Callithrix jacchus: one gene and its partners. The protein of the gene in region 1 interacts with the protein of each later gene in a biochemical or structural test. Links are inferred from orthologs where the notes say so. Each region holds a gene or a part of one and is shown on either strand. Other genes may lie near its edges.

Evidence for each region. The genes of interacting proteins can lie anywhere in the genome.
Region 2: the proteins of ITCH (region 1) and NDFIP1 form a complex in vitro, tested with the Homo sapiens proteins (2 studies listed by BioGRID). The link is inferred for Callithrix jacchus from reciprocal best matches to the Homo sapiens genes ITCH and NDFIP1.
Region 3: the proteins of ITCH (region 1) and JUNB form a complex in vitro, tested with the Homo sapiens proteins (2 studies listed by BioGRID, with this or other methods). The link is inferred for Callithrix jacchus from reciprocal best matches to the Homo sapiens genes ITCH and JUNB.
Region 4: the proteins of ITCH (region 1) and MLANA form a complex in vitro, tested with the Homo sapiens proteins (2 studies listed by BioGRID and IntAct, with this or other methods). The link is inferred for Callithrix jacchus from reciprocal best matches to the Homo sapiens genes ITCH and MLANA.
Region 5: the proteins of ITCH (region 1) and NUMB form a complex in vitro, tested with the Homo sapiens proteins (3 studies listed by BioGRID). The link is inferred for Callithrix jacchus from reciprocal best matches to the Homo sapiens genes ITCH and NUMB.

The regions. Positions count from the first base shown.
Region 1 is NC_133506.1:4,854,672-4,859,332, forward strand, and holds part of ITCH (E3 ubiquitin-protein ligase Itchy homolog), read right to left. Parts: intron 2,928-4,661; coding exon 2,770-2,927; intron 1,429-2,769; coding exon 1,233-1,428; intron 1-1,232. UniProt on the Homo sapiens protein: Acts as an Acts as an E3 ubiquitin-protein ligase which accepts ubiquitin from an E2 ubiquitin-conjugating enzyme in the form of a thioester and then directly transfers the ubiquitin to targeted substrates.
Region 2 is NC_133503.1:40,544,430-40,549,766, forward strand, and holds the start of NDFIP1 (NEDD4 family-interacting protein 1), read left to right. Parts: upstream 1-2,167; 5' UTR 2,168-2,345; coding exon 2,346-2,408; intron 2,409-5,337. UniProt on the Homo sapiens protein: Activates HECT domain-containing E3 ubiquitin-protein ligases, including NEDD4 and ITCH, and consequently modulates the stability of their targets. As a result, controls many cellular processes.
Region 3 is NC_133523.1:11,614,000-11,618,859, reverse strand, and holds JUNB (transcription factor JunB), read right to left. Parts: upstream 2,707-4,860; 5' UTR 2,416-2,706; coding exon 1,372-2,415; 3' UTR 871-1,371; downstream 1-870. UniProt on the Homo sapiens protein: Transcription factor involved in regulating gene activity following the primary growth factor response. Binds to the DNA sequence 5'-TGA[GC]TCA-3'.
Region 4 is NC_133502.1:112,375,787-112,381,223, reverse strand, and holds the start of MLANA (melanoma antigen recognized by T-cells 1), read right to left. Parts: upstream 3,171-5,437; 5' UTR 3,123-3,170; exon of another isoform or gene 2,661-3,122; intron 1,630-2,660; 5' UTR 1,605-1,629; coding exon 1,528-1,604; intron 1-1,527. UniProt on the Homo sapiens protein: Involved in melanosome biogenesis by ensuring the stability of GPR143. Plays a vital role in the expression, stability, trafficking, and processing of melanocyte protein PMEL, which is critical to the formation of stage II melanosomes.
Region 5 is NC_133509.1:108,453,354-108,458,747, forward strand, and holds the start of NUMB (protein numb homolog), read right to left. Parts: upstream 3,171-5,394; 5' UTR 2,931-3,170; intron 1-2,930. UniProt on the Homo sapiens protein: Regulates clathrin-mediated receptor endocytosis. Plays a role in the process of neurogenesis.

The sequences.
Region 1 (4,661 bases):
TGGACAATAGGGCAAGAATCCATCTCAAAAAAAAAAGAAAAATTAGCCAGGTATAGGTGGCAGGTGCCTGTAATCCCAGCAAATCTGGATGGTGAGGCAGGAGAATCACTTGAACCTGAGAGGTGGAGGTTGGAGTGAGCCAAGATCCCACCATTGTGCTCCAGATTGGGCGACAGAGCAAGACTCCATTTCAAACAAACAAACAAAAAAAGCAAAATAAAAAACAAAAAACTACACTTGAATATCTTAAAAATAATCTTAAAATAATCAGTAGAGATTAAAATGGGATTGATTATGAGCAGAAATTTTCTCAGTTTTCTGAATTATCTATCATTTTGCGATAATGATTTACTCTGTTACAAAGGCTAAAGTGCAATTGCGTGATCTCAGCTCACTGCAACCTCCACCTCCCAGGTTCAAGTAATTCTCCTGAGTAGCTGGGACTACAGGTGCCCACCACCATGCCCAGCTAATTAGAGTACTTTGAGTAAAGATGGGGTTTCACCATGTTGGCCAGGCTGGTCTCAAACTCCTGACCTCAGGTGATCCACCTGCCTCAGCCTCCCGAAGTGCTGAGATTACAGGCATAAGCCACCATGCCCAGCCTATAATGATTTTATGATGAAAACAAAATTTGATTTTAAAAAGGGATTTTCCCCTTCAAAGAAAAAGCAACTAGAATTAGGTGATTATTTTATTAATTGGCCTTGGTTAACATTCAGGGTCCTTTGGTGAAAAAATATATTTTTCCACTTTGCCCCGAAAACAAAAGACAGGGTTTCAAATATGGTGTATTTTCCTTGTTCATTTTGACTCCAGATTCCCCCAAATCAGTTATAACATAAAAACAGTTGGTTGGGTGCAGTGGGTCATGCCTGTAATCTCAGCAATTTTGGAGGTTACGGTAGGAGGATCACTTGAGGTCAGGAGTTTGAGACCAGCCTGGTCAACATGGTAAAACCCCATCTCAACTAAAAATACAAACATTAGCCAGGCATGATAGCCCACGCCTATAATCCCAGCTATTAGAGAGGCTGAGGCAGGGGAACTGCTTGAACCCAGGGGTCGGGGGTTGCGGTGAGCCAAGGTCTCACTGCTGCACTCCAGCCTGGGAAACAGAGCAAGACTCCATCTCAGTTACTGAAACAATGGAGTTTACTATTATTTTCCTTGTTAGTAAGTATATGAAGTAGCCAAAAGCCTAAAGACAATGTATGTTTAAAGTTACTCACCCGGGTGGCAAGGGAGCTTGAGTTACAGGATTTAATGGCCTAGGGCCTGAGCCTCCAGATATAGTAAGGGGAATTATTAATCCAGATGTTGCTCCTTCAGATGTATTTGTATTTGTATTTGTATTTGTCATTGGCAGAGAACCTGTACTAGACCCATCACTTTCAGAAGTGGTAGATGGTGAACCATTGACAGATGCTATAAAAGATTTGAAGAAAATAGGAAAAGAACCTTTTATTTTCTAAAATTCAGGATAGAATTTTAACTGTAAAAAATAAAAAGGCAGATGATAAATATAAAACTTAAGATTTGGATACACAGGTGAAAATTACTTAAAGAAATAATAAGAAATAATCAATACTCCCTCTTAATAGGCTTGTTTACTTCTTCGGCCCTGTCTACCCCTACATCCCATTATTAATTACAAGGCATGTGAATATTATCTGAGGAGATAAAAATGTATAGAAAAGCATTAATATTCCTTGGTATTTTAAGTTCATTTATTAATTTTCCAGCTCCTTAAAACTGCTTTCCTATGAATCCCTGCAGATTACAGACCAATTTTTGATGTTGGTTATAATGTGGAAGGTCTGACTGATAAACAATAATCTTCTTACAAATAGTTACTAGTCATGTATTACATCTTTAAGAAATACTTGTGAAAACAATGTCTATAGGAAGTCACCAATATTATAACTAAGACATCTTAAAGATTCAGAACATACTGTTAACCAAATTACCTATAAAAGGGGAAGAGGAGGCTGGGCTCAGTGGCTTATGCCTGTAATTCCAGTACTTTGGGGCTAGGCATGGTGGCTCATGCCTCTAATCCCAGCACTTTGGGAGCCCAAGGTGGGCAGATCACCTAAGGTCAGAAGTTTGAGACCAGCCTGACCAACATGGAGAAACCCCGTTTCTACTAAAAATACAAAATCAGCCAGGTGTGGCAATGGGTGCCTGTAATCCCAGCTACTCGGGAACCTGAGGCAGGAGAATTGCTTGAACCTAGGAGACGGAGGTTGCGTAAGCTGACACTGTGCCACTGCATTCCAGCCTGGGTGACAGAGTGAAACTGACTCAAAAATCAATCAAACAAACAAAAAAGGCTTGTTTGTTGTGTCATTTTTTATTTAAAATCTGAATCATTTAGCACTGTTGGGTTATTTGTCATTTACTAACTTTTTAAAGAATATACTCGGATTAAGCAACCAAATCCTTGACTACTTACTTAATATGTTTATGTTACAGTTACAAACCATGTAAGAAATGCTATTGCAATGTTATCTGTATTGCCTATATTTTATATTATGCACATGTCATTTTCATTCTCAATAGAGCACTGCCTCAGTAATGTCACTCTGACCCGAAACTTAGGAAAAAGGCACTTTTGGTTACTACAGAAAGATCATTCTTTGCCAAAATCTTAAATGCAAAAACACACACAGAAAACTCACCGAAAAGAATTTCCTGAAACTTACCTGAGGATTAACTGCCAACCAGAACATTATTTATTAGAGTACTGACAGCTGGAATACAAACCTGGTCTACGTGGGGTAGGTGGTGGTGGTCGTGAAGGTCTTGGAGGTCTAGAAGGTTTAAAACCGCCATTTGAGAGTGATGGAGAACTATTCCCATTGGCTCTCCTATTTTCACCAGATCCTCCATCTTCAGGGTCATCTGATCCATTTGTGCTCACTCTGGGTAAGAAGACGGGAAAAGGAAGGGGGAGAGAAAAATAATAAATACCCTTTGAATTTAAGAAAAAAACAGCAAGAGAATGAAAACTTCTAAGATTTTAGGAGCTTAAAAAAAGCTTTTTAAATTTTGGTCAGCCTTATTAAATACATAAAGAGCCTCTGGGTAGAATCCTACACAACCCCCAAAGTTCATCTAGAGATAGAGTGAAGGGTTGTCCAAGGGCATAGAAACACTTGCAGCCGTTCAGAACTATTAGATATGCTGGTTCGTATTTCAAATAAGCCTTCAGGAAGCCCTACATAAACAGGAATAAAGTCAAGTTCTCAAAATCCTTAAAAAGGGCACTACTTTATCACAAGCGCAGATAACTTTACCATTGTTGTTTTTTGGTTTCTATTGGCTATTTATTAATACTCAAGTTTGAGGCAGGGCTGATTTTCCCATGCTAGAACAAAGTGCATGTATTTCCCAGGGACTAGGCCCTGACATCCCCACTCAGTACAATGGTACACAAAATGTTCAAAGCTAGTGATATAGAGTAGAAGTAACCACAGACCATTTTTTTAAGGAGCTGTCATTTATTCAAAGCAATAACATCAACTGAAGGGACAGAAAGGAAGGAAGAACACTAACAGGAAATATCGGACTGAAAGCTACTGCTACTGTTGGCTAAATATAGTTGATTCTTTTTCCTCCCAGAGGGGTTCTAGTCATGGATTAGAAACAAGGACATAAGTAGCCAGTCTGCAGATGTCTCAGCCAAGGTTCTTGTATGTACTACCTCCAAACCACTACACAGTACTAATCCATACTACTAGGAATTTCAGAATAAGCCTGAACAAAATAAAACCTAATAGATTCAACTAACAGAGGCTGAGTGCTGTAGCTCACACTTGCAAGTGCAGCACTTTGGGAGAATGAGGTGGGAAGATCACTTAAGCAAAGGAGTGAGAGAAAAATAATAAATGCCCTTTGAATTTAAGAAAAAAAACAGCACGAGGATGAAAACTTCTAAGATTTTAGGAGCTTAAAAAAAGCTTTTTAATTTTTGGTCAGCCTTATTAAATACATAAAGAGCCTTTGGATAGAATCCTATGTAACCCCTGAAGTTCATCGAGAGATTGATTGAAGGGTTGTCCAAGGGCAATGATTTATTTTTAATAAAAACTGTATAGATGATATTTTGATATACATAGTGAAAAAACTTACTACAGTCAAACTAATTAACATCTCTCTCTCCTCACATAGTCATCTTTTTTTTAGACAGAGTCTCACTCCATTGCCCAGGATGGAGTGCAGTGGTATGATCTCAGCTCACTGCAACCTCTGCCTCCCAGGTTCTAGCAGTTCTCATGCCTCAGCCTCCTGAGTAGGTAGGACTACAAGCACCCATCAACGTGGCCAGCTAATTCTTTTGTAGATTTTGTAGAGATGGGTTTTCACCATGTTGCCCAGGCTGGTCTTGAACTCCTGACCTCAAGAAATCCACCCTTCTCAGCCTCCCAAAGTGCTGCGATTATAGGCATAAGCCACTGTGCCCATCCTCGTAGTTTAAGACATTTTCGAACTATGTACCACAGAAATCCTTTAGGGCCCTTCTATTCCAAGTGTGGTCTTTAAACCAAAAGGACAAGCACTATCGAGGAGCTTGTCAGAAATGCACACTCTTCAGAAGTATTCTGGACCTACTATATCAGAGCTAGCATTTTAATAAGATCCCCAGATTATATATA
Region 2 (5,337 bases), on another chromosome or scaffold:
ATATTTCAGTGATAAGGCCTGTTATTTATATTATGATAAACATTTGTGCCCACATGCAGGGAGTGTATAGATATTGAGGGAGAAGGTAATTTAGGAAATAGGAAGGTGGCAACATCTTTTTCACAAAAGCCACGGTACAGCAGACATGCATAAAGACTGAAGTTGTTGATACAATAGTCATATATGGCAGGCCAACAAATTCTCTTTTTTTTTTATTTAAGAGATTGCATCTCACTATGTTACCCAGGTTGGTCTCAAAGTCCTGGGCTCAAGTGATCCTCAAGTCCCAGCCTCTCAAAATGCTGGGATTACAGATGTGAGCCATTGTGTCCAGCCGACAAATTCTTTTTTATTCTTTCTTACATGTCAATTTAGACGATCTGAACAAAGAAGTCTGGATTTCTACTTTCCACTGCTGAGATTTTTAAAAAATTTTTCAAATTAGATTTTTGCACCCTTTATACAAGACTGGATGGCAGGACATTATGTTTGATTCACTCTACCTGATGACATTTAAAGGTTGTTTTTCTGGATTGAAGACAACATCCGAGGGACAGAGTAAGGAGCCTCTAAATAGACTTCAGAGCTTGGAATGTTGCTGGATTTGTTCACTCTCCCAGCATGTTAATATGTGAGACTAATACTTGGAAATAGTGACAGATATGGAGGAGTTTGGATACTGAGAGAGAACTCAAAGTGAAGATGGTAAACATCTAGAGTTTTTGTTGATTATAATTTTCTCATATATGCAGAAACCTCAGTGTGTTCGAAAACACAACCCTCTTTTAAAATACATAGTTAACTAAACTTCAAAATTAGAAGCTAAGACAATAATCATATTAATACAACCTCTACACTGCCAACTTGGAAAAACAATGAAGAAGAAATGTGAACTGCAACAAGCTTCAGAGATGGAAGATTTTTTTTTTTCCTCTGAAGGGCATATGGGTAGAAGCAATTGTAGATGGCTGGGTGTGAAAGAAACAGACCTTGTAAGCCTGCTATGTAGCTATACTGTGCTAGATGCGATTGGGATGTAATAAGACTTAAAAGACAAATACTCTTGTCTTCACAGAGCTTATAATCTAGTTGTGCAAGACTGGTTAAGAAAGCTGGCTTAATGGAGCTGCATTCCACCTTCACCCCTTAGTGTCATTGGGTGAGATATTTAACTTCTTCGCTCTGTGTCATTGGGTGAGATATTTAACTTCTTTGGGCGTAACTTCCTCATCTGTGAAACACTGATAATTATATCTCCTATATGGCAGCAACGCCAGCCTCTTTTCTGTTCTTCCCCAAGGCAATCTCTCTTTGGACCCACCTTTGCACCTGTTTCTGTGGCCCGGAAAGCTTTTAGCATGGCCAAACCCTTCAAGTGTTGACTTCCATGTCACCTGCTCAGGGAACTTTTCAGAAAATACGGTTTCTGTATCCTCAGATAAGACTGTTAAAATACTAACGGACCGTATAAACATGAGGGTGCTATTATAATCATCCACCCTAAGTAAGATTTGAGATCCAAGGAGTTCTCAAGGATTTAGGGTTAGCAAACTTTTCATGTAAAATGTCAGATAGCAAGTATTCTAGGGTTTGCAGGCTATATTAAACAAATGGGTTCTGCTGTGTTCCAATAAAACTTTACTTATGGACACTGAAACTTGAATTTCATATACTTTTCACAGTCACGGCGACAGACCAGATTTGGCCCCCCTCCCTGTTGCTGGCTGACCCCTGGTTTATAAGTAAGGCAGATAAAAGAAGGGAGTGACTAAGAACCACGATTCTGCGGCCAGACACCAGGGATCAGGTCGCTGCTGTGAGGATTGTCAACCTCTCTGGTTCCAACACCCAGAGAATGGGGCTGTGGTCCCTGCGTCAGGAAGGTCGTGTTGAAAGCTGGATAAGGGCACGTAGGTGAAGCTCAGTGCTTGGCACGAGCTGTCATCAGCAGCGTCGCCCTCTCTTTGGACTGGCCTGTTAGTAGTTAGTTTTTAGTGGACTCGAATACAACACTTGAGCCTCGGAGGCTCACGTTGTTGGAGCAACTACACCCGAGTCGGGGCACCGCAGGGCAGCGGCGCAGGGCTAGGCCCGGCCGGGCTGGGCGGTGCGAGTCGGGGGCGGGGCGGCGGCTCAGCGACGCCGTCGTTGTCCCCGCCTCCTCCCCAGGGGCAGCGTCGGAGCCTCGGAGGCGGCGGCGCTTACAGCCTGAGGAGAGCGTCTTGCTCCGGAGCGGCGGCGGCCATCGAGACCCACCCAAAGGCGCGACCCCATCCCGGCCTCAGCGGCCGCGCCCCTTCAGTTAGCTCGCTCGCTCGCTCTCCTTCCCTGCTGCCCGCTGCGCCATGGCGTTGGCGTTGGCGGCGCTAGCGGCGGTCGAGCCGGCCTGTGGCAGCAGGTACCAGCAGGTAAGCGGCGCCCGACTCCCGCCCCCCGTCCCGGACTCCGGTCCCCGGCTCTGCCCTTTCCGCTGGCCGCCTCAGGCCTGTCTGGCCCGCCCGCGGCCAACTCGACACCGGGGCTTGGCAGGCCGCGCTGGGCCGGGACGGGCGAGTTGGGCCCCGGGCTCGGATTCGCGGCCCCGGCGGGCCCGGCCTGCCCCACCGCGACCCCGGGTGGGACTCCGGTGGTGGAAAGCCTTCCTCTCGGCCTAGTTTCCCGCATTTCCCAGGGCGGGCGGGTCCTTGAGTCAGAACCTGCGACCCAAAGGCGGCATCGATCTGAGGCATTCGTTTTTCATGTTTCCACCTTTGGTTTGATGTCATTGGAAAAAAAGAAAGAAAGAAAAAAAGCATAAAACGGAAACTGGGTGGAGAGAAAAGATTAAAATCTCTGCTGCTGCTGATAGCTCCCCACAGCGAGATGCTATTGCTCAGGGTTTCGGAGCCTAGTTTGTCGAAACCCATCCCCCTCGCCTCCGTTTTAAGACAAAAGTCAAAAAATGAAGCGAGAGACAAGCCCGCAGTTTGCAGTAGATTTGTAAGAGGCGACGTTTGGCTTTGGTGATGCCCCAAAAGGGAGAGCTACAGTCAAGTCTGTAGCAGGGCGTGTGCCGGGTGTATTTTAAATGCTTGGAAATGACGTTTTAAGATATTTGATGGCATAGCTGGGGAGGAAATGTATAGGGAATAATTGGATCATTTTCTCCGGTCTGATTTATAAATTGAGGCCCCAGGGAAAAAGAGCTGCTTGTTTCACTCTCCTTCTGTAGCTTAGTTCCCCCAGGAAATTTAGAGACCTTCTGCATGGCTTTTAGAAGTCTTATTAATGTAACAAACATTATAATTGTGGGAATTGAGCCAGGTGGTAAACTGATGTTGATTGGAACCGCAAATAACGGCTTGTGTTTGTCATGTTTCAAATGCTTTCGGCGCATACAGATGTCAATCCTGCTTTTATGAAATAAAATGCTCTATTTTAGACTATCTACTATTTTATATTTTAGAAATAAGGAAAGCCAGTAAGATTAAAACGTAGATTAACCCTGGTGCAGCCGGGTTTGTTTTGCTATCATCAGCCATGTGTTGCAATCCGCCCCCGCTCAGGCTTGGACTTCCAAATGACTAGTTCAGAATTTAGCTTCTTGGTTTCATAAACACATCCCAAATTGTGACAATGCAGTTAATCCTTAGGTCTCTTCAGAGCACATGGATCTAGCACATGCTTTTTTTGTATGACCTTGGGCAGCCTGTGGGTTCCTTACTGCTTTAACAAAATGGGAATAACAGATGTCACTTAACTGTCACCACAGTGTTTACAAACCACCCGTGTTTGCAAATCACCCCTACTGTATACTGAGATCTGATTTCATCCTTTTCATCCTGACTTGGATAAGGCTAACAAGCAAAAGAGCTGTGGTTTTTCTTTGTACTGCCATCTTCTTGAGCTATTAGGTAATGCTGATATACAGCTAGAATACAGAAAATTTGCGGGAGTATCAAAATCATGTATTCCTTAGTGTGGCATTTAATGTTTTTAAATTATGCAGAATTGAAGTGTCAAAAAAATGAAAAAAATTTTCTGAGAAAAATTATAAAAGGTGAAAGCCAAAAAAACTGCAAAACCCTCCCTAAACAAAAACCAAATAGATAACCAAAGGTAATATTTTAATGTACATTCTTGTGGGTTTATCGCTATGTAAATATACATAGTTCTAGATCAGTATACATGTGTAAAGATAAGGATTGAAGGAAAGCTAATACTGATTTTTTTATGCAACAGTCACAGTACTAATTAATTTACATCCATTTTTTCATTTAATCCATACAAAACCCTTATGAACTAGGGTTTGTTCTCATTGTCAAAGACTCAAAGTGGTTCAGTAACTTGCTCGAGGTCACAAGCTGCTAAGTACTGATTACAAGGATATACACACACTCACCTACTTAAAACACAGGCTCACAGTCCAAATATAGGTGTATGCATTAGCAGTTATATACACATGGGTGTATATTCTCTTATGTACCCATAATGCATATACAGACATATCTTTGTACATGCGTGTGTAGTTTCATAAGCCCCTGATCATACTGGCACGTACTTTTGCACATGTCCCTGTGTATCTTATTCTCAGGCGTGTGCATTCGTACATTTGCATACGTGTGTATTGTGTACATGTATATACAAAAGCACACTAGATAAATAAATGGGTTCATATTTCTATTTTATAATGTGCTTTACACAATGTTAATGTCTTCTATATAAAATATTTTTAATGTCTACATGGCATGTAATTGTATGGCTTAATTTAAGTAACCTATCTTTGGTCACTAAGAATGTTTATAGTTTTTTTCATTCACGGAAATTTATTTTACATACGTCTTCAACCGTTTTCTTAGTATAAATTACTAGACACAGAAATGCCTGGTCCGAGAATATACATATTTAAAAGGCTATTGAATTATAGAATGATGGTGAATTGTCCAGGCAACTTGATTGGAGCATGATACTCTTTGGTTGTCACACAGGGTTGTTCTGACTTCTATTTGATCTAGTTAATCAAATTGAGCTAGTTTTCTCACTAAGTAAATGTAATGGAAAACTGTATGATTCATTCATAAATGCAAACACAGTTTTGTCTTTACGGTCTTTTTATTGGTAGTGCAATATGTGGACAACTTGAATTTAGCATAGTAACAAACTATGCAGAAAGGCTAGGCTCAGCTAGGTGAAGTGGCTCACACCTATAATCCCAGCATTTTGGGAGGCCAAGGCAGGCGGATCACCTGAGGTCAGGAATTTGAGACCAGCCTGGCCAACATAGCAGAACCCCATCTCTGCTAAAAATACAAAAATTAGCTGGACATGGTAGCAGTTGCCTGTAATCCCAGCTACTCA
Region 3 (4,860 bases), on another chromosome or scaffold:
AGCAGCACCGGCACCCGCACCCCCACCCCCACCCCCAAGTGTCCCAGCTGCGCAGGAGGGAGCCCAGCGCAAGGGCGGTGGCGGCGCCCAGCGGCCCGAGCAGCCGCCCCGGCAGGACCAGACCTGGCAGTCGCCCCGCTCCTGGCCTGGCACCCGGGAGGGGAAACTGGCAGGCCGGCGCCGCCCTTCCTGGCGGGGGTGGGGGTAGAAGGGACGACGTCGGCAAAGCAGCCTAGGCAGCAACAACCCTCCGCCCCGGTCAGGTCAGACGGAGGGGGCGTGGGCGCGGCGGGGCCCAGGCGCCAGTGTCTTGAGTGGCACAGGGGTGGCTCCCGCAGCCCAGGAGCGCTGCCCGCCCACCGCGGCCGCTCTGGACCCAGGCCTGGGGCTTTCCGTGCCCGGGCAGCCGCCTGCCCGGGAAAATCCCGGCCCCCTTCCCGGCGCCGCGGCCCTGCCCGGCAGAGCGGGGGAGGGGATTCCCGGAATCTGCCCAGAGACCGCGGTCGCGTCACTGGGCAGAATCGGTCCTTATATGGGCAGCGCTTCCGCTGCGTCAGCGGGGAAAGCCCCGGCGCGCGCGGCTGGGCGGGGCCGCGCCTGCGCACTCCGCGTCTCGCGCAGAGCTCCCTGCCTTTTGCTACTGGGCTCCGAAATCGCGTCCCGCGCCCCGCGCCCCGCGCCCCGACCATCCAACCCTGGAGATCAGGAGGCGCGTATAGGGTGGGACTCCCGGGCGGGCCACAAGATGCCTGCGCAGAGCTGAAGAGGGGAACACACACAGGACCGAGCCACTTACAGCACTGAGCTGGGGCAAACCATTGCTTTTTTTTTCCCTCGGCCCTCCCAGCTTGGAAAAAAAGACAACAGAAATTAATAAAGAACCAATTTTTTTTTTTACTTAAATAGATTCAATAAAAAGAACAAACACACACACAAACACAAACACGTCTTAAAATAAACTCTTTAGAGACTAAGTGCGTGTTTCTTTTCCACAGTACGGTGCAGAGAGGGGAGGACAGGGGGCGGGGGTCCCCTTCCCAATGTCCCCGTGGGCTTGAGTACCGGACGGCGGGGCCAGCTCCGCCGCGATCGCCCCCTTCTCCCCTCCCTGTTAAATACACAAATATATTATATTCAATATGAATCGAGTCTGTTTCCAGCAGAAAAAACATACAAAAAAAAGTGGAACCGGGGGGGCTTGTAAACGTCGAGGTGGAAGGACTGGGCACAGGGCGGGAGGGCCGGAGTCCAGTGTGGTTAGCGGCGCTCCCAGGTCCCAGGGTAGGTGCCCACCGCCTGCCCCCTAGACCCCAGTGGGAGGCTTGCGCCCAGCCGTCCAGCGAGGGGGTGTCCGTAAGGGGGCAGGGGCGCTCAGAAGGCGTGTCCCTTGACCCCAAGCAGCAGCTGACAGCCGTTGCTGACGTGGGTCATGACCTTTTGTTTGAGCTGGGCCACCTGCTCCCGGAGGAGGCCGGCGGTACTCGACAGCCCCGCGTTCTCGGCCTTGAGCGTCTTCACCTTGTCCTCCAGGCGCGCGATGCGCTCCAGCTTCCGCTTCCGGCACTTGGTGGCCGCCAGCCGGTTCCGCAGCCGCTTGCGCTCCACTTTGATGCGCTCTTGGTCTTCCATGTTGATGGGGGACACCGGCGGCGTGGCGTCCCGGCTGCGCGCCTCCGGCACGGTCTGCGGTTCCTCCTTGAAAGTGGAGGCGCCGCGGCCCAAGCCCAGCTGCGCCGGGTGGCCACCGGCAAAGGGCGGCGCGTGTGGGAGGTAGCTGATGGTGGCCGTCGGGTACGAGCTCCCAGTCCCGACAGCAGCCCCGGCGCCTCCTGAGGACGCAGAGGCTGGGGAGTAGCTGCTGAGGTTGGTGTAAACGGGAGGTGGCTCCGGGCCGGCGTAGACGCCCCCGGGCCCAGCCGGGGGCCCCCCGCTAGCGCCCAGGGACACGTTGGGGGGTGTCACGTGGTTCATCTTGTGCAGGTCGTCCAGGGCTTTGACAAAGCCGTCGGCGAAGCCCTCCTGCTCCTCGGTGACGCCTCCCCCTGCGCCCCCCGCACCCCCACCGCTGCCACCCCCGCGAGGGTAAAAGTACTGTCCTGGGGGTGTAGGCGTCGTCGTGATCACGCCGTTGCTGTTGGGGACGATCAGGCGTTCCAGCTCCGAAGAGGCGAGCTTGAGAGACGCGCCGGTGTCCGAGCCCTGACCAGAAAAGTAGCTGCCGCCACCGCCGCCCTCTGGGCCGGATCCCCGAGCCCCAGGCGCTTTGAGACTCCGGTAGGGGTCGGCCAGGTTGAGCGCCAGGCCGGGTTTCAGGAGTTTGTAGTCGTGTATAGAGAGGCCACCGGGGGCCCGGCCGTATCCCGCAGGAGTGTATGAGTCGTCGTGGTAGAAGGGCTGTTCCATTTTAGTGCACATCCGGGCGGCCCAGGCGGTCGGGGGAAGGTCCCTGCGGGGCCGCCCCGGGCCTCGCTGCAGCGAGCGCCGCGCTCTCCGCTGCGGTGGCCGGACTGGGTACCTGGTCGCGCGTTCTCCGGGGCTGGCGCGGGCGGGGAGCAGCCAGCCGGAAGCTGTACGCAAAAGCTGTCAGGCTTCTCGAGTCCCCCTCACCCTCTTCGGCGCGCTAGCTTTCCTGGAGTGGTTTCCCCCAGCTCCCAGCTCCCGGCTCCCTGCTGGCTCCGAAGCTGGTCCGGCCGCTCTCCAGGTCCCAGCCGCTCAGCCTGAGCCACACGCCTTTATACAGAAGCTAGTCAGCCACGGAAGTGCGCTCTGATTGGCCGTCGCCGGAGCCGGGCCCCCGCGCCCCCCTCCTCGAGCGTGGGGAAGGGGAGGAGGCGGCTCGCGTCACTGTCAGGAAGCGCGTGTCCTTGTAAACAGCGGCCACGGGCCGGGTGGCTCGGCGGGGCTGCAGGGGGAGGGGCTCAAAGGACCCCGGGGTCCGCGTGGAAGGAGGTGCTGAGGGGCCTGGACACATGAGTGAGGGCGCTCAGGGAGGAGGATGATTTCCCTCCAGCCCACTGGGACAAATACCAGGACCTGGTACGGAGCAAATGGGGTGGAGATCCCAGGGTGTTCGAAGAAACCCTGAGGTACCCAGAGTACGAGAGGGGTGGAAGGACTGACAATTCATTGGGAGACCCCAAAAAGCAGAAATGAGGGTTACTAACGGTAAATCGGGAGGGGTAAGGAGAGACCTGACACAGGAATTGACTGGGGGCCCCAAGCACAGAGGGATGGAGTACTGGAATTTTCACAGGATGGAGGAGAGGAGAGATCAAAAGGGGACAGTGGTGGGCTGCATGACCCATTAAATTGCAAGAAATGAGTAGGGGTCCCGAAGCCCATGGGAGGATCTGAGAGCTCCCCATACGTGGGAAAGAGGAATTAGGAGAAATCTAGATATGCAGAAAGCGAATAAGGGTCCTGCTGTACACTGAGGCAGGTAAAATGTGCGGGGTAGAAGATGTAGACGTCTAGCAGAGATTGGGGACCACTGGAGTTATCCGCGAAGCCTGGATGAAGGAGAGATAGAAGGATCCGGATCCATCTTCGGAGCAGAGAAGACAGTAAGAGGGTACTCAGTTGACGTGAGGAGGGGGCTTTGGGGTCCACGCACCCGGACTGCTGATCTTCCATGACTGGTGCTCCCCCTCGTGGGTGACCCCTTAGGCATCTGCATTCCCTGTCCCCCATCCTAAAACTCTTCCCCTATTGACCCTGGGCTTTGCCCGACACCCTGTCGGCGCCTGGACCCAGCCCGACGGCTGGGGCGCGGTCGCCCAACCCCACACTCCCTTCCTTAGAAACAGGCTGGGGAAAGAGCGCCGAGGCAGGAAGTGTGGCAACAGCCCCGGGGGAAGGAGCCCGGCCCTGTCTCCGTCACTCGGATCCTACGGGACCTTGCGCCCCGCCCTGGGTCCCGCCGCATCCTGCGCCTCGGAAGAGGAACCTGGGCGTGCGAGCCCACGCGGAGGCCCTGGTGCTTGGAGCCGGCCCAGCAGCAGAAGCCTCCAGCTACCATCCTCTCCCCCCAGGCAATGGTTCCTCCCGCGGCGCCTGCTGGGGATCGCCGAGGCAGACAGCTTGGGGACTGTTCCATTGGACCGACAGCGGGAAACGCAGCCCAAGAGCTGGGCCTGGTCGCCATGGCAACAGGCGGGAGTCCGCCGGCAGGACTCAGGGCCGGGTGGCCCCCGGAGTCTCTCCCGCCGCCCATATTAGGGCACAGGAAGAGGTGGGACCAATGCTGTCCTGGGGCCCCGAGCCAGAAGTGGGGAGCCCGGGTATCTGCCAGGTCCCAGGGCGCGCCTGGGCCCCGGTACGGCTAGTCCGGACCAGCCCCGACCGCCGCCCCCGGGGCCCCCACGGCCGCCTGGCCCGGCCCCGCCCCACCCCGCCGCTCTGGGGCTGCGTCCTGCCAGGCCGGGCCTGGCCCAGCCCAGCCCGGCAGGTCCCCGCCTGCCCGGGGGCCTGGGTCGGACTTCGCCCCCGGCCGGACGGGGCGCGGAGAGGGCGGGTCGATGCCTTGAGGCGCCCCAGGCGCCTGGCCGGGCTGGAGTGGCGGCTGCCTCCTCCCTCGGGTGGGGTTCCCTTCTCTTCTGCCAGGAGGTCTGGGGCTCCTTCCCCCACACTCCTGGGGGCTGCAGATACCCCTCACTCACTCATATAGGTCTGGGGCCCCACTCTCGTTTTAATCTGCGAGTCCTATCATCCATCATCCAGAATACTTAGAGGGAGCCCCCACCCTTCCCTAGGGTGACTCCCTCATCTGAGGTCTTCCCTCCCCGAGTTAAAGAAGACCTGAAAATCTAAGTGGATAATATGAGGGAAGCCAGAGCCCCTTCCCCAGGAAGGACTTCGGGG
Region 4 (5,437 bases), on another chromosome or scaffold:
ATTGTGCAAATATTTGCCTCCGCCAGCCTGCAGCATAATACTTAAGAGCATGGACTCTGGAGGCAAACAGACCCGGATTTAAATCCCAGCGCCACCATAGCCACACATTTCTAATTTCTCCAAATCTTTCCCCATTTACAAAACATCAAGAATGATACCCACCAGGGTGAGTGCCATGGGGCAGGGGGCAGAGGGTGGGTCAGTAAGCAGAGGTGACGTGTGTCCCTTGAAAGGAATGGTCCTAGCTTCTCCTTCACCTCCCCTTTCCTTGGCAAGATGTGGAGGTGATGGCACAACATCTTCAGCCATAGGGACAAAAGCGACACCCCGGGGGAATAACCAGCAAGAAGAAAATGAACAGGCCTTGAACTCTTTACTCTTGAATTATTACACAAGACATAAAAGTATATTCTAAAGAAGAATTTGTTGAGTGATCATACAGAAGCTGAAACAATACCCTAATTAATACCACGGGCAATGGGCTCCCCTCCCTTAAAGAGTATATTTTTGCTCTCGGGACATTTTCTTAGAAGATACCGCCGGCTTCATCTCCAATTAGCCAGGGATATTAGAGGGTCCTATACCGAGATCTTCGGAAGAAATGCTCTCTGCCTGAGTTCTTCTTCAGTGCCTTTGTCGGGCCCTACATCTTGCTGGCCTCTGCGGCTATTAACAAGGATTGTTCAACAGCTCTTTCCAAAGAATGAGCAGGTTTGCAGGGAGTTCTGCACAGAACACATAAGAAGATTGTGTCCTGTTGGAGTCCCACGCAGAGGGTGGGGCCTCTGCTGCTCCCCCTCCCCCCACACCCTTTCCCTCCCAGCATGTACAGCATGTATCCCTGCAGCTTCTGGGTTCCCATTACTGCACTTACATTTGCTGAAATTATTCTCATGCCTAACTCTCCCGCTAGGTTTTGAGTTTCTTCAAAGATAAAAACAGTGTCTCAGACCAGTATACAATGCTTATCATTTAGAAATGCTTAATCATATAAATACTTATTTTTAATTCACTCATAATACCCAACGCCTTTCCTTAGGATAAAGTTATGCTGCAAAGGCTGTGACCTCTGCCTTCCTCTCGAGTCTGGCTTCAGGCTGAGTCACACACACTTGCCCATCATCCTCACTGGCTCCTTGGCAACTCACTTTTATTCTGTCTGCAAACAACCTTCAGGAGCTTGAGTGGCGTTGACAGAACAAGGATTGAGGAAAGAGGCATTGTGATCCTGAACGGATGTTTTTCCTTTTGGGAACCTATAGATAAGGCCCAAGAGTCAAAAGTGCAGCCCAAATAGCAAGATCTAACCTTATACCATTCCCATCTTCCTGTCTGTTTGGCCTTAGAGAAGCTTGATTTAGCCCCTTGTAGAAGCACAGAGTCTCTTCCCCTTGTTGCCAGGGATGTTTCTGTCTGGGGCTGTCAACACTAGGGAGATTCATGAGCAGGCATGTGCTAGTGGAAGTCAGCAGGCTGTGTCAGCAAACGGCAGACTGGAAGCCCTGCTGGGTCTGGTTTTGAACTTACTCTTCAGCTGTGATGTAAGAGTGGCCATGCCTCTTCCTGGGATAATCAGAGACGAAGGGAGTGTCTTCTCTTGGCATCTTGTAGGGTCAGGGCACAGGACACCTAACAGAAGGAGCACGTGGGCATCATTAAGGCATCCGAAGCCACCCTATTCATCATCTCATAAAGACCCACAACAGCATCCTAACTAGGTGACCAATATCCATAGCCAGGATTCTTTGACCTGTGACGGGATTTGCACCTGCTTCTTTCATTGATATCAAGGGCTTTAGCAACAGCTCAGCTTTCTAACCCCTCCTACTAACTAAAAATTAAGCTCGAAGAAGAAACTACAGACAAAAGCAAAAAGGCTTTCAAGTTGAGTTATTATTTGGTGAAAAACTGCTCCTCATTGCCATTGATTTGACTCTGCACCATAAACTTCTAGAGAACCAAACAAAAAGCATTTTTACTGATTCTCTACCTTCCCTGGTCCAGGGCTGTGGCTAAGAAGTTAAGAGGAGTTATTTTTCTCCAAAGTTGTTATTAGACTTCAATCCCTGGGCAGAGGCTATGATACACAACGTATGCTTCCCAGAGCGCCCACTGCCTGTGCCTCGCAAGGGTGCATGAGGTTGAGCACTGAGCACAGCATCTTCCAGCCCAGTTTTTCAGCAAAGGAAACCACCCCACACAAGGGCTTCAGCTCGTCCTAGGCACTCCACACAAAACAAGCTAAGGAAGCCCAGGACCTGACTTTATCTGACAGTGTGTTTCCCCTGCCACCTAAATCAATTTCTGCTTCTCTCTGGTTCAAGTCCCTTGGCTAGGACTTTTTTTTTAACTATAACAAATACAAATGAATAATAACAAAAGATGTCCATAAACTGCAGTGGCTGTAAGTCAAGTATGTTCATTAAAAACTAATAATGGAAGCTTCTCTCCTTGTTGTGTATTTGTCAGCTCTTTTACTGTTCTCATGAATTTTGAAGATCTGGTCCCCATAGAATTATATTAATGAGCTCCAGTTTAAAACAACAGGGAGAGGTGGGAGAGAAGAGTGGGGATTTCACCACATGACCACTTTCCACTGGGACGTTTTACATGTAATTTACCCTTCCCAGTTGTAAAAACAAAATTAAAGTCAAACTCACCAATCCTCTGAAGTGAATAATATAGGAGTGAACTCTGTGTTCAAAATGACAGAATGGACATTCAATTCTGCATTCAATTGTTTTCATACATCCTATACCTCAAGCTCAGACCTTGGCAGATGGTGCAGCAACAGCAAATGCGCCTCTTACCACTCAGATCAGGAGAAGTGGTTCTTTAAGTGACAGGAGAACACATCTACCTTAGGGAGGTGGCTTCTCCCCAGCAAGTGCCATCCTGAATAATTGCTTTTCTTCTTGGCAGTCTTGGAGGACTGAGAGAGGACCCAGGAGGAGACTTTGTGAACCCTCTGAAGATGGAGACTGACAAACATTGAGGAGAAATTCCGTTGACGTCACACATCAGCAGGGCAATGAGGATAAGCAGAGGACTTTGCCAGAATTTCCCAAATCCTATTCCGGGAGAAGAGGACTATGATTATGGTGAGAAGGCAACGCTCTTACCTTCCTTAATGAGAGAGTCCTCCGTCCGCCAGCTGGCCGTGTGTGAAGACTGCTTCTCTGGCTCTTACTCTTTTTTACTTATTTTTTTTTTCTGGTCTTGAGTCTCATGATAGTCACGGGTTTAGATTTCTGACAGGGTCGTCTGTAATTGCTTAATTGGCATGAAAGAAACCAACTTCCTTCCATAAAAAAGTCACAGCTGACTGTGGCCTCTGTTTTCCCCAGTCCCCATGCCCTAACCAAGTGAAGTCATTTATTTTCAGTGTTGGTCCGTCCTCCATAAGATCGCCACATCACATAAAATATGGAATGCCCAGTTAAATTTGAACTTCAGATTAAACCATGAACAGGTTTTTAATACAACTATATTCCACAGAATATTTTATATCCACATATTCTATAGGACATACACTAAAAAAGTTATGTTTTGTTTATCTGAAATCTACATTTGTTTTTCTCATGTCAGATGGGTAATGCGCCAATGTCATTGTAACAAGGTGTGAGGGAGGCACATCTCACACATAAATATGAAACCCCAATCATCACACTTATGAAATACAAAAGGATCTGAAATCCAGACTTAACTGGGTTCCCTATTCCCTCCCTCATCTCCATCTCAAAAGGTTGAAGAGTCTTTAGGTGCAGATCTGGAGATCATCTTGTTCCAGACTCTCAGGGAAATAGAGAATCCCTGAAACCTCCTCAGCTGAGCTCCATGAGTTCTCTATGATGCCCTTGGAGTTAACTGTCCACTGGAGATAGTGGGTTTCCATGCATCTGCAAGGGATAGACGAAATTTTCTCTTTGCAGGTGAAATATGACCTACTTAGACATCTATTAGGTTGATGCAAAAGTAATTGCAGTTTCAGATGTTGAATTTTTAAATTATTATAACTAGGTTCAAGCACATCTTTATTAATCAAAATAGAAACTATTAAAAATCAAGACTTTTTTGCCAACGAGAAATAAGTTTGCTTACTCCTGTAGCATACAAATTCATGAAACTTTGTATTCATTTTCTGCATCTGGTTGTGGAAGTGTTTTCCCTGCAAAAAGTTGTTGAGATGCTTGAAGAAGTCATAGTTGGTTGATAAGAGGTCAGGTGAATATGGTGGATGAGGCAAAATTTGTAGCCCAATTCGTTCAACTTTTGCAGCGTTGGTTGTGTGACCTGCGGTTGGGTGTTGTCATGGAGAACTGAGCTTTTTCTGTTGACCAATGCTGGCTGCAGGTTGCACTTTTCAGTGCAACGCATTGATTTGATGAGCATACTTCTTAGATGTAATGGTGTCACCAGGATTCAGAAAGCTGTAGTGGATCAGACTGGCAGCAGACCACCAAACAGTGACCGTGACCTTTTTGTGGTGCAAGTTTGGCTGTGGGAAGTGCTTTGGAGCTTCTTTTTGGTCCAACCAGTTGTCATATAAAATCTACTTTTCATTGCACATTGCAAATCACTTGAGAAATGGTTTGTTGTTGTTGTGTAGAGTAAGAGAAGACAACACTTCAAAAAGACTATTTTTAAAATTTTTGCTTAGCTTGCGAAGCACTCACTAAGTGAACTTTTTCACCTTCCCAATTTGCTTCAAATGCTGAACAACTGTAGAATGATCATCCTTGAATTGTTACACAACTGCTCATAGTTAAAAAAGGCTAAGCTTTGACAATTGCTCTCAATTGGTAGTTGTCAACTTCCAATGGCCGGTCACTACACTCCTCATCTTCAAGGCTCTTGTCTCCTTTGCAAAACTTCTTGAACCACAACTGCACTGTACATTCATTAGCAGTTCCTGGGCAAAATGTATTGTTAATATTGTAAGTTGTCTCTGCTGCTTTATGATCCATTTTGAACTCGAATAAGAAAATTGCTCGAATTTGCTTTTTGTCTAACATCATTTCTATAGTCTAAAATAAACACAAAATAAATAGCAAGTAATAAGTCATTAGCAAAAAAACATAAAGTGAGAAATGCCCATCACAATGATGTAAAACATAACCACATTTATTTAAGAATGCATTCTAGGCCGGGCGCGGTGACTCACGCCTGTAATCCCAGCACTTTGGGAGGCCGAGACGGGTGGATCACGAGGTCAAGAGATCAAGACCAACCTGATCAACATGGTGAAACCCCGTCTCTACTAAAGATACAAAAAATTAGCTGGGCATGGTGGCTCATGCTGTAATCCCAGCTACTCAGGAGGCTGAGGCAGGAGAATTGCCTGAACCCAGGAGGCGGAGGTTGCAGTGAGCCGAGATTGCGCCATTGCACTCCAGCCTGGGTAACAAGAGCGAAACTCCATCTCAAAAAAAAAAAA
Region 5 (5,394 bases), on another chromosome or scaffold:
ATTATCCCAAAACTTAGTAGCTTTAAACAACATTTATCATCTCACAGTTTCTGTGAGTCAACCCTCTGACTTTGGGTCTCTTATAAAACCACAGTCCTCTCAAGCTCAATTGGGACAGATCTGCTTCCTGCCTCATTCACCTGGTTATTGTTGGCAGGACTCACTTCCTAAGGCCTTAGTTTCCCAGGAGCTGCTGGCCAGAAGCCTCCCTCAGTGCCCTGCCTCATGGGCCTCTTCGCAGAGCATCTCACATTGTAGCAGCTTACTTCAACAGTGCAAGCAAGCTAGAGCAAGAGAGAAGACCCACCAAAGAGAGTACTAGCAAGACAGAAGGCCCAGTCTTTTGTAATCCAATCACAGATGTGACATCCCATCACTTTTGACACATCCTGAGTTAGAAGTAAGTCATTAGGTCCAGCCCACACTCAGTAAGTCATTAGGATTACACAAGGATGTAATCCTTAGAGCCTGCACAGTTGGCAGCTACTTGGGAGGCTGAGGTAGGAGGCTCACTTGAGGCCAGGGGTTCGAGGCCAGCTTGGGCAACATAGTGAGCCTCCTCCATCTCCTTTTTTTTTTTTTCCTGAGACGGAGTTTTGCTGTTGTTACCCAGACTGGAGTGCAATGGCACGATCTTGGCTCACCGCAACCTCCGCCTCCTGGGTTCAAGCAATTCTCCTGCCTCAGCCTCCCAAGTAGCTGGGACTACAGGTGCACACCACCATGCCCAGCTAATTTTTTGTATTTTTAGTAGAGACGGGATTTCACCTTGTTGACCAGGATGGTCTCGATCTCTTGATCTCGTGATCAACCCCCCGAGGTCAAGAGTTCAAGACCAGTCTGGTCAACAGGGTAAAACCCTGTCTCTACTAAAAAGAAAATACAAAAATTATCTGGGTATGATGGCACATGCCTGTCATCCCAGCTACTGAGAAGGCTGAGGCAGGAGAGTTGCTTGAACCCAGGAGGCGGAGGTTGCAGTGAGCCAAGATCGCACCATTGCACTCCATCCTGGGCGAAGAAGCAAGACTCTGTCTTAACAACAACAACAAAAGAAATATATGTGTGTATATTTTTAAATATACAAAAATCAAATTAGAGAATATGTTTGATTCAGGGCCCGTATATGTTATGCCATATAAAACTGTTATAGATAATAACTATTATTACCATTAATATTATTATTGAGTATATAATGGCTGGTTTTCTCCCCTAGCTCCTAGAAGGAACGCTTCTATGAGGAGTAAATGAAATAATATACATAATTCAGGACCTGACATGAAGTAAATGCTCAATAATCATTAGTTATTATTAACATTATTAATAAATGTGTGATATTTGATATTCTTTCCAAGCTACTGGAAGAAAATACTATGAACTCTCGTAACTTTTCCAGGATGACCTTATATATTTTGTTCAACTTTTCTCATTAGCATCCTATAATTGCCAGAGCACAACTCTAAATTTGAGTTTCATAAAATATGACCACCAAAGCCATGACACAGTCTAATTTCCTGTCTGCCCTATACCAAGAAGTACCCTTGTCCAAAACCAGTAAAACGGGCTAATTATGGCAGCACCTCCTATATGCAGAAAACTCAGAGCCTGGCCCCATCCAGAATCCAGAGAGGAGGGATTGTGCCTGGGAGAATGAGCAGAGACTTGGCTATGTAACCTTTGTCCCTTTCAAAATATGCTCGTCATTGTGCAATCTTCTGAGTCAATCCTCCACTAAGAATGAGAGAAAGAGGGACCAATAAGGCCCTACAGATGGGCCTTAAAACGTCCAAAAAGACGTTTTCACACCTGGGTTGAAAGTAATATGAACCAATAAAAATAAAGAGCAATTTTGCAATTAGAAAGTTGGAAGAAGAGAGTCCAGTTTGCAACATGAAAGAAAGAGCACTAAGAGGCTGGAGTCATCACTTCAGGGCTGGGTTGAAGCTGTCTTCCTTATAAAGGTGGAGGATTTTGAGGGTTGGCCTGTGGCCAGGGAAAATGAGGAACTATAATCAAGAAAACCCCATTATTTTGGCTTTGAGTCATTTCTCAGGGCTCACCCATAATTATTACATAAGAAAGATAGAAAAAACAAAAACCAGGCCGGGCGTGGTGGCTCAAGCCTGTAATCCCAGCACTTTGGGAGGCCGAGGCGAGTGGATCACGAGATCAAGAGATCGAGACCATCCTGGTCAACATGGTGAAATCCCGTCTCTACTAAAAATAAAAAAATTTGCTGCACATGGTGGTGCGTGCCTGTAATCCCAGCTACTCAGGAGGCTGAGGCAGGAGAATTGCCTGAACCTAGGAAGCGGAGGTTGCATTGAGCCGAGATCACACCATTGCACTCCAGCCTGGGTAAAAAGAGCAAAACTCCGTCTCAAAAAAAAAAAAGAAAAGAAAAAGAAAAAAAAAACCTACTAAAGTGTAAATGATCCTTAAACCAAAGACACTGTAGAAATACAAAGATCCAGACCAGACACAATGGCTCATGCCTATAATTCCAGCACTTTGGGAGGCCGAGGCAGGCAGATCACCTGAGGTTAGAGTTCGAGACCAGGCTGACCAACATGGAGAAACCCTGTCTCTACTAAAAATACAAAATTAGCTGGGCATGGTGGCACATGCCTGTAATCCCAGCTACTTGGGGTGGGGGTGGGGGGGGCGGGAGTGCTGAGGCAGGAGAATCGCTTGAACCTGGGAGGCAGAGGTTGCAGTGAGCCAAGATCACACCATTGCACTCCAGCCTAGACAACAAGAGCAAAACTCTATCTCAAAAAAAAAAAAGAAGAAGAAGAAAAAGAAAGAGATACAACGATCCAAGTCTTTGCAACTTATCTGTCTTTCTCTGTCTCTGTTTCTTCTTCTCCCTCCCATATTTGCACATGTTCTTTCGTTTCTTTTTCCATGCAGAAGAAAACTATCCTTACAAGGAAATGCCTGAAGATCCTTTAGGCTGGAACTGTTTTCAGATCAGGAATCATCTCTAGCAGTCTCCACTGCCTGCCTCTCTTGGACTCCTGTGGACAGGATTAGAGTTCAACATTCACAGATAATAACAGTTTACACCTCTGCCTCTAAATCAAGTCACTACCGCTGTGATTTAAAGAGGCCGCCGACTGATTTTCTGAGCTGCACTAGCCCTGGCCCTGTCTTCTCCTGAAATGTCCCAAACATTACCGGATTTGTACACAGAAAGCCTCAAAGCAGAAGTTGCTGGGAAAATTCTGTAAACATGAAGAGGAGAAGTGCACCAATATCAAGTTCCTCTTCCTGTGGCTCTGGTTTTCTCTCCTTCCTATTCTGTGTTTCCTCTGTGTCTGGGACAGAGGATACTTGGTTTCCATACCTCTTAATAGTCAGAGAAAACCTTGTTCTGCCCCTTGGCAGGTTAGTTTTTGAAGGGAAAGACAGGGTAAAGAGATGAGGACTTGCCCCCAGGAAGTCTGCCTGTACAATAGGAATGATGTATTTATTTATTCAGCCCTTTCCTCCACTGCAGCCAGAGCAGCAGCCATTTCATTTCGCCCTCAGGAAGTGTATTTAGTGGTAACCTTTCTTTCTTTTCCTGTTAGTTTCCTGCAAAAGGACATCAGTGTCCTCCTCATTGGAGCAGCTGATAAGGATGTTGTTGCTCAAATAGAGACAGAAAAACTTATTTCCTGTCGCAGACCTAGGCCATCCCAAGGTCATGGAGAATTAGACCAGGCTGCAGAAATAACGGAAGAACCTGATTTTCATGCCTATTTCCCTGGTGCGGTCTTCCTCCCTGAAATACTCTGCAATAATTACACCTTCCACTTAAGTAGGATTTTACACTTTTCCAAAGTAGCATCACGTTGTACAGAAGCAGCGTTGCTGCATTGTAGTTGGCATAGCCTATTAGTTACTTTGGAGGGTTTATATGAAGAGCAACTTTGGGTTTAACTTTACGTCTTGGGGAATTCATACAAATGGCATAGGTTACCCTAAGGTGGATTCCATTTGCTAGCTCCTGCCCATCCTACAGATCTTATCTTCAAAGTTACTATTGCGGGGGAGGCTTCCTGGTACCCCTCTCCCAGCCACATTGGGTTGGGTGGCCTTCTTATACACACTGCACTTCCACTTTGGAATACACATATCCCATGGGTAAACCTGCTCAGTGCATATCCATCCAGCAACATGTTGGCACTGTAATACCAGGGACAACAACCTTCCTGCTCAGGGCCTGGCCCACAGTAGTTCACTAAATATTTAGTGAATGAATGAGTAAGTCAGGAATTGTCTCTAGGAGCAGCCTTGCCACCTGACACAATCATTTATTTTGGGGTGGTGCTCTAGAAGTTATAAAAAAGACATGCTAATTATCACATAATGATCACCGGTGGTTACAGTAATTAGAGCACAGTGGTGAAGTATGACTAAATAAAGCTCTCCACCAGGTGGGGGGCTATCCCTGCACTCTGAATTTGGAATCCCACTGCCCATCTCTCTTGGACTCCTGTGGACAGGGTCATTCCTTTGGAAAATTCTATTTGGAGTTGCCAACATCGGGGAACAGGGAGAATTAAGCTCCATTTCCCCAAACTCAGTGAAATCTTTCTGATATGAAAATTAAATTAAAGAACAAGGTCATTGGTGGCCCTCTGCTTCTTTCCTTTCAGCCTCTGAGACATTTCCCCATCAAGGGTCTATGCTGAGTCATCCCTCCTTCAGCAAAAACAAGTCAGCAACACCCTGAGGATGGGTGATGGAGGTAAAGACTCATCCTGCTAATCTTCTCCTCCCACGGAGGCCAAGGTTCGTGGTCTTCGCCCCCTCCCTGGGAACAAGAAAGCAACCCAAAAGAAAAGCCTCTTCCTTCCCACTCCTCTCTCTCTTACAAGCTCATGGTCTGTGGTTTCCTCTTTCTTCTGCCAATGGAAGTCAAGGATAGAGATAGGGGAGGAGGAAGAAGAAACAAAAGGGCATAGAACTGTACTTTGCTGACTGAGGGGAGGTGGAACACGTGGGTGAGGGGTATGAATTGGGATGAAGAACGACAAGACATGAAGAATCCTTCGGGGTTCTCCAACAATTCTCACATCCAGGACAGTTAACGCACAGCTCAGGTGCAGGGACACCAGGGAGCCCAGAAATGTAAATAGTGGGAGGTGATGACAGCAAAGAAGCAGGTAGATCTGATACACAGGCCCCTACAAAGAGCTACGCCCTGTGGGAGAACCACAGACTGCCTAAGACTGGGTAACGAGAGAGTGGGCGTTCAGTGTGAGACCTTGAATCAGAGGCCCACGCTCTATATCAAGCTCAGTCTCCAATTTGTGGGGAGGACCCAGGTGAAAGATGAATGTCAGAGATGTGGCTTAATCAGCTGCCTATGGGATGGGCACATGTTTGGGAGATACTTTGAAA